Linked DNA regions of Macaca fascicularis. The protein of the gene in region 1 interacts with the protein of each later gene in a pairwise test. Links are inferred from orthologs where the notes say so. Each region holds a gene or a part of one and is shown on either strand. Other genes may lie near its edges.

Region 1 (3,645 bases):
CACTGCACTCCAGCCTGGGCGATGGAGCAAGACTCCATATAAAAAAGAAAAAAAAGAGAATACTTTTTTAACAAATGATGGTGGAAAAATCGGATGTCCATATTCAAAAAGTGAACTTTCACACAGATCTCACATCTTACACAAAAAGTGACTCAAAGTGGATTATAGAACTAAATATAAAATGCAAACGGATAAAACTCTTAGAGGAAAACGGGAGAAATTTGCATGGCTTTGAGTTTGTTGATGAATTTTTAGATACTATAAAAAACACAACCCATAAAAAATTGATAAATTGGACTTTATTAAAATTGTTTTTTCCATCTGTGAAATTAACTCTTGAGGGAATGAAGAGACAAGCTTCAGCCTTGGAGTATATATTTGCACATCACGTATCTGATAAAGGACTTGCACCCAAATACACAAAGAACTCTTACAATTCAACAAATAAACACAAATAACCAAGTTCATAAGTAAGCAAAAGAATACCTTATAAAACATGTTCAAGAACCTGTGAACAGTGCACAGCGAGTCCTTGTTTTAGACTCTTTTCTTCATTGTATTATTCAGTATTTACACAGTTTGAAATATGAGTGTCTAGGAGCTGTCTTTTCTCACAAAAAAGAGGGAAGTGATCTAAAATCACGAAACTGAAGCCCGAGAGTAAGATTACACATTTTGCACACATGCATATCACTATTTTTCATTCTAAAATGAGTGTTTTTCTAGATCAGAGAAATTTTATTTAATTCCATTTTGTAGGACTCTATAGCAGAGCCTCTTCGATATGAACCTGTTTAATTTGTATAATGTCGATAATTATTTTCCATTCACAATAACAACAACAAAGACTTTTTATACTATATAGTCTTCAGCAACAAACTGCAGTCACTTGTCTCTAGCTCCAAGGTCTGTGAAGTAGAGTTTATCGGGCCATCTAGTGGCCACTACATCAAACAACAGCTTTTTGTATTTACTACTGTGAACAACTTTTACAGGCTTCACTACATTGATACTAAGTCTACAAAAGCTAAAACTAGGCCTCCCTGCAGACTGTCTATAACTGTCCTGAACATAACAGAATTCATGACCCATATGTTTTGTTAACGTAACCATTGTACTGTATCTTTGTGGTTCTGCGCGTTACACGGGGGCCCGGTGGAGCTGTGGCGTCTTAGCAGAGGGCATTAGCTGCGGAATTTTGCCCGCACACCCTGACTCAAACGACGGATGAATAAAATGTACATTTCCATACAGATATTTTGTTTTGCCAGTCCAGCTGAGTGTCCAACTGCCTGCACACCAAGAGAGGTTTGTCACTGCTGCTGGTCCGGAGCAGCTTGCACTTCAGGCATTTATTTAGTATACAATTAACAACAGAAGCTTTGAGTAAACACACTGGAGGATAATTAACATGGTTAAGAGAGTAGTTTTACGAGCTTAGGTACCATGGTTTAAAGTAAATACCATTAGGGGGCAATTTCTCTGGTTGACCTCCCCCCCATTCCCCCCACCCCCACCCCGCCAGGTACCCCGACCCCCCACGCTCCCCCCACCCCCCCCCCCGACAGAGGGCCATTTGGCTTAAAGATTAGTTAATGGAGGTACCGTAAACACACTTAACTGGGGAATCCCCTATTGTTCCTAGTATTTACCCTGTGACTTAATGCTCTAAAGTAAGAACCGGCTGCCTTTAGCCTGTTCAATTGCGACAAGTTATGTAATCTTTTGGCCTTTCAAAAGGTTTGTGATTATTTCCTATAACTTTTCCTAATATTCCCCTTTAATATTTTTGCCATCATCTTAAGTGAATCACAACATATCTTAATATAATTATTACATGAATGTATAGTCCGTATTATTTTTAGACCTGATTAATTGAATGTTTCAGTGGGATGTATCAATTTTTCCTCTTTCCATTATAATAATCTTGTTTAAGTCACTAACATGTCTTGCCTGGAAGATTATTATCTCCTAACTGGTCCCTTGTCATCCTCTCCGTATCCTTAAAATTCTTTCTCCAAAGAGTAACTCAATTAATCTTTTAAAAAAACATGTGTATCATAGTAAGATCATGGATTTTCTCTACTTAAAATGTTCCAATGAGGTTCCATCACAATTTTAATGAAATGTGAACTCTTCTTCACTGTCTATACAGTCCTATGGGATCTGGTCTCCACATTCCTCTTATAAACTTCATTTCCTACCACTCTCCCCTCCATTCACTAGAAACCAGGTATATTATTTTTTTGTCATTGTTGTGTGTTTGTTTCTTAAACACATTCTCCCAGACTTTGGGCTTTGGGTACGTTGTTTGTCTAACTGGAATAATTGGTTCCCACATACTCCCACATGAGTTGCTTCTTCTCTAAAACCATGGGTGGTTGCAGATCAAATACCATGCCCTCAAAAATGTATTCCTTCTTAGTTATTCAGAAATTAAACACCAGCTGCAATCAAAGAAACTCCCGAATCTCAGTGGCTTAGTTATACATTAATTAACCATGTACACTTCAGTATGGATAATGGGGAGTGAAGACTGAGAAGTTCTGTTCCATGAGCTATTCAAGGACTCACTTGGGCACCAATCCTTTTACGACTTGGCTGTCCTCCTGGTTCTCAGAATCCATGCCGTTCACCTGTCAGAGAAAGTAAAAGAGGGTGGAGGATTATGTCAGAGATTTTTATAAACTGTATTTGGGAGTGGAGTACTTTATTTCTACCTATATTAGCTGGAATTCAGTCGCGTGACCACAACTAACTGCAGCTATGGATGGTAAATGTAGGGCAGCTGTGTGCCCAAGGGAAAACAGGGTTTGATGCAATCACAGCATTTCCCTCTGCCACGTTAGCCCTTGTGTTTATCAAATATCCACTTTACCCTTCCTTTTAAATGTTGAACACACTCTCCCTAGAGGAGACAATCCAAAATTCACCTATGTATTGAATCCAGCTCAAAGTTCAGGATTTCAGAATTACACTCGGTCTTCTCCACCAAGTCCTGCTGTGGTTTGTCGAGGTCAGGGACCCAGGAACTAAAAAGATAAATTATGTTTCAAACAGCCAATAGGGGGGAGGCGAGAAATAACCATAGTGAAAATTCTCATTTGGAAAGGAAAAGGAGGCACTTTACCGTTATGGACTCATAGGAATTATGGAATCTTGCTGGTACTTGGTGATGTGTCTGTGAAGCAAGTGGGAATTAGTATTCCAGGGGAGCAAATATATGGCACAGAATTGTAGTTGCTACCTTTTCAGGTGAGATGGGATAGAAATGGAGTCCCTGAAATAAGAAGTATGTTTCTGTACATTTCAATGCTGAACCAAGAAAGGACACATGGCTTGATGATACATTGAAATATTTATCTGGGTTTTTCACATTTTTCCTCTCCCTCTCTCCCATGTGTACTCTGAGGATCAGCACACTTGTAGACAGGAGTCACCTACTTTGAAGGAGCAACCAGAACTCTGACTCCAAAGAGTAAAACTTGGTATCTGAAAAGACAATGAAAAGAAATATTCGGTTTCACACTTACAGAGTTAGTTTTAAAATGGCCCTAAGAGGTGAAGAGAACATGCTGATGGAAGAAAGAAAGGAATGGATAAAATTTGATCTTGAGACATGAGGATAAAGCTGAGGTTGATGAT
Region 2 (4,433 bases), on another chromosome or scaffold:
ACATCTAGGCCCACTGATATGCTCACCTCTACCAAGTTGATCTTCTAGGTTTGCACTTGAGGTTGCAAAATGGGGACAAAGGATTTTGCAGTGGGGACGGAATGAGAGAGATAACACATGCAAGGTCTTGGGGAAGGACCTGGCACGCAGGATTAGAAAGGTGAGTGGGAGGCAGATCCATAGCCAAGCCCACTTCCTATCCTAGACCGCCCTCTGCCCAGGCCTGAGTACACCATCATGACTTCTTAGCTCAGCCCAGAGACTGAAGAAACTTAGTGTCACAGAGCAAGTCAGGGACAGGGCAGTGGTCTCATGATTTATAAACATGCATATATATATATATATATATATATATATATACACACACACATACATACATACACACACACACACATATATATATGTAATTTTATTTTTTAGACAGAGTTTTCCTGTTGTCACCCAGGCTGGAGTGCACCGGGATCACCGCAACCTCCACCTCCCAGGTTTAAGTGATTCTCCTGCCTCAGCCTCCCAAGTAGCTGGGATTATAGGCTCGTGCCACCACATCCGGCTAATTTTTGTATTTTTTAGTAAAGATGAGGTTTCACCACGTTGGCCAGGCTGGTCTGAAACTCCTGACCTCAAGTGATCCACCCGCCTTGGCCTCCCAAAGTGCTGAGATTACAGGCGTGAGCCACCGCACCTGGCCTTAATTTTTAAATTTTTAAAATAGATGATACATGCACACAACTCAAAATTCAAAAACGGTAAAGATAGTGAAGTTTAAAAAAAAAAAACAACAACAACCTCCTCCCACCCTGTCCCCATTTCTCCTCCCTGCAGGCACCATCGTGACCAGACAGTTGCTTATCCTTCCTGAGAGACTTTAGGCAGATGCAGGCAAGTATGAATATATATTCTGTCTCCATTGTTACACATATGGCGTCATGATGCTATGTGTACCATTTTCATCTTGTTCTTTTTGCTCAATAGTATGTTTTGTTCTTGGTGCCACATCAGTACATAAAGAGCATGTCCTTTTTCCCAGCTGCACAGTAGAATTTCCCATCATCCCCTACTGGTGGCCACTTAGAGTGTGTCTCATTTCTGCCTACAAACCACACTGCAGCATCACTGCATCTACATCATTTTGCTTAGAAGTGGGACAGCTGAGTCTGGGGGATGTATTTGTAATCCACAACCAAGTCTGCTTCCTATCCTAGACCGCCCTCTGCCCAGGCCTGAGTGCACCATCATGACTTCTTAGCTCAGCCCAGAGACTGAAGAAACTTACTCAATGTCACAGAGCAAGTCAGGGACAGGGCAGTGGTTTCACGATTTATAAATATGCATATATATATACACACACACACATACACACACACATATATATAGAGAGAGAGAGAGAGAATGAGATGGGAGGACTGTGCTTCATGAAGGCTGTGTGAGTTAACCTCCTGCCTGCAGAACATACAAATGGTCCATGAACATTAGTTTCAGTTATCTTGATTACTGAGGTTCAGGGCATCCCTAAATTTTGCACTGGTGGTGAGGACCTCAATTGCCTCAGCCCCTGCCTTGCATCACAGTGGGAGAAGGTGATAAATTTGCTAATAAGTAAAATATATAGGACATAAGGTGGAGTAAATGCTACTGAGAAAAACAAAACATGCAAGAACAAGAGCAAGGCTTATGAAGTCAATAATATTTGTTGAAAGAATAAAGGAAAGGCTTGTTTTCTGAGTGTTCGGAGATCCTGTCCCCAAAGCCAGGGGGAGGCTCCAGAGGAGAGGAGATATGTAACTCCCTTATGAAGAGATTCAAGACTCTCAAAATGCATGACTCTGGGTGTCAAGGATTCTAAGATTGAAGCCAGAGGGACCAGGAGCTAATAACCACTGCATTGTCTGACTGGGACTTCGACAAGAGGCTTAACTTCTTAGAACCTCAGTTTCCCCACCTACAAAAGGAGACTGACAATAGCAACCTAGGGGGCAAGGGGTGTCCCCAGGAGACAGAGCAGGATCTGGCCTAGATCAGATGCTCCTCCTGAGGGAATCCCGGCCCCACCCCCAATTCCAAAGTCTCTGGTGACTAGTGGCTTTGGTTCAGGGACTGGCTTTATTCCCTTCCCCAGACCGGGGAAGATTCCCAAGAGGCCAGCAGCGACTCTGGGGGCTGGAGAATCTGCTGCCCCTATATCCAGCCCAGAAATGTCAGTGCCATCCGATGGCTAAAGAGTGGTCCTCTGAGAGGGGGAGCTCTGGAGTTCAGAGCCCAGTAGGCAGAAGGGCGCCAAATGAGCCGAGTCCAACCCCGGACTGCGGAGAAGAAAGACGCCCAAAAGGGGTATCCCGAGGACAGTGTGGGGCGCAGGGATAGGTGATCCAGCCAGGGGTCCATAGGCCGTGTCCCTGCCGATAAAATGCTGGGAAAATGACTACTAGTTGCCCGTCTGTACCTCTCAAGGCAAGTCTAGATACGACTAGACTAGGGGCTGCGAGGTAGGGCGGAAAGCCTTGAACTGGATTCTCTGCCAGAGCTCGCCGAGCCAGGACACTTGCCTCTCTGAACCTCAGAGTCCTCATCTGTGAAATGACACGCAGGTACGACGCGGGGAGAAAGCAGACAGCAGGCGCTCGGGGAACAGAGTCCCCCAGACCCCGGGTCGCACCCGGAACCACCCGCGCCCTCACCTGGAGCTCGTCCTAGGCGTGTCCCGGCTCCTTCCGCGCAGTCTTCGGAGAGGCTGACAGCTCGGACCCGGGCTGGTAGTGACCGCTCCCAACGGCGCCCAGGAGGCCCCAGCCCCGCGTGGGCACCTTTGGGGTCCCCTTCGGAACTGCCCTCCGCAGTCGAGCTGAGCGGGTGGCCCTGACTGTCGAAGGCCCCCACCGCAGGGAAAGTCCCTCGAGCGCCGAGAAAGGGGAAGTGAGCACCCCGCCCCCCTTCACTCCAGAATGGTTCGACCCGGACTTCCTGATTGGTTCCTCGCTTCCGTTCGAACGGCGCGCCGCCGGGGTTGCCAGGCGACCGCTTAGCTTCTGCAGCCTGAAGGAGCGGCGCGGCTCAGCAGCTCCGCCCCCACCTCCCAACCGGCCCCACCTTCTTCCTGCCGCCGCTTCAGACCCGGCGCCTGGTTCTTTCCCTTCCTCCTCCCTCCGGCTTGCAGCTGGGACTTCCTCTAGGGCACCAGCTGGAAGAGCTCCAGTTAGAGGACCCTGGTTGATTCCTAGTCCTGACTTTGACGCTAACTCCCTATGTGACCCCGCACAGCCCCTTCCTTTCTCTGTTCTCCTAACTGCATGATGATGAGTGAGTTAATTTTAAAATGTGCACACCCAGCAGTCCTGAAATTTACAAAGGAAATGACCAAAGATATGAGCAAAGATTAATATTGCTCAGCCTTATTCATCATGACAAAATAATGGAAACAACTTAAATGCCTCTTGAAAGGGGTTGGTTATATAATTCCATCCTGTGGAAGAGCTAACTAACTTAATTGAGCGTTTTACATGCCAGGTAGCTTTACAGAACAACTCTTGTCAAGGCTTATGACATAACCCTCTAAAAGTACTTTTAATTATTAACACTTTCTTTTTTTCTTTCCTTTTTTTTTTTTTTTGAGATGGAGTCACCCTGGCTGGAGTGCAGTGGTGGGATCTCAGCTTACAGCAGCCTCAGTCTCCTGGGGTCAAGCAATCTTCCCACCTCAGCCTCCCGAGTAGCTGGGACTACAGGTGTGCACTACCACACCCGGTATTTTCTGTATTTTTTGTAGAGACAGGGTTTTGCCATGTTGCCCAGACTGGTCTTAAACTCCTGGACTCAAGTAATCCTACCAACTCAGCCTTCCAAAGTTCTAGAATTACAGGCATGAGCCACGCCGACTAGCCTAATTATTCCCACTTTCTGATGAGGAATATTATGCAGCCATTAAAAATGAAGCAGCCACCAGGAGCAGTGGCTCACGCCTGTAATCCCAGCACTTTGGGAGGCTGAGGCGATCAAATCACCTGAAGTCAGGAGTTGAAGACCAGCCTGGCCAACATAGTGAAACCTTGTCTCTACTAAAAATACAAAAATTACCCAGGCGTGGTGCTACAAGCCTGTAATCCCAGCTACTCGGGAGGATGAGGCAGGAGAATAGATTGAACCTGGGATGTGGGGGATGCAGTGAGCTGAGATCATGCCACTGCACCCCAACCTGGGCAACAGATCATCTCAAAAAAATAAAAATAAAAGTGAAGTAGCTAAAAGAGATTTAAAGATAGGGGGAAATGCTAAGTATTAAATATTGATTTATTTATGTTTTTTAGAGACAGGGTCTAGATCTGTTGCCCAAGGTGGAGTGCAGTGGTGCAACCACAGCTCACTGTATCCTAGGTTGAAGCAATCCTCCCACCTCAGCCTCCAGAGTAACTAGGACTACAGGCGCGCATCACCATGTC

Evidence for each region.
Region 2: the proteins of MKRN3 (region 1) and FAM110A interact in binary tests that used the Homo sapiens proteins (3 or more experiments, as listed by UniProt). The two-hybrid records come from large-scale screens. The link is inferred for Macaca fascicularis from reciprocal best matches to the Homo sapiens genes MKRN3 and FAM110A.

What each region holds. Positions count from the first base shown.
Region 1 is NC_088381.1:5,355,174-5,358,818, forward strand, and holds the end of MKRN3 (E3 ubiquitin-protein ligase makorin-3), read right to left. Parts: intron 3,033-3,645; coding exon 2,934-3,032; intron 2,637-2,933; coding exon 2,633-2,636; coding exon of another isoform or gene 2,575-2,632; 3' UTR 1,293-2,574; coding exon of another isoform or gene 1,217-1,292; 3' UTR 280-1,216; downstream 1-279. UniProt on the Homo sapiens protein: E3 ubiquitin ligase catalyzing the covalent attachment of ubiquitin moieties onto substrate proteins.
Region 2 is NC_088384.1:86,552,260-86,556,692, forward strand, and holds the start of FAM110A (protein FAM110A), read right to left. Parts: upstream 2,916-4,433; 5' UTR 2,679-2,915; intron 1-2,678.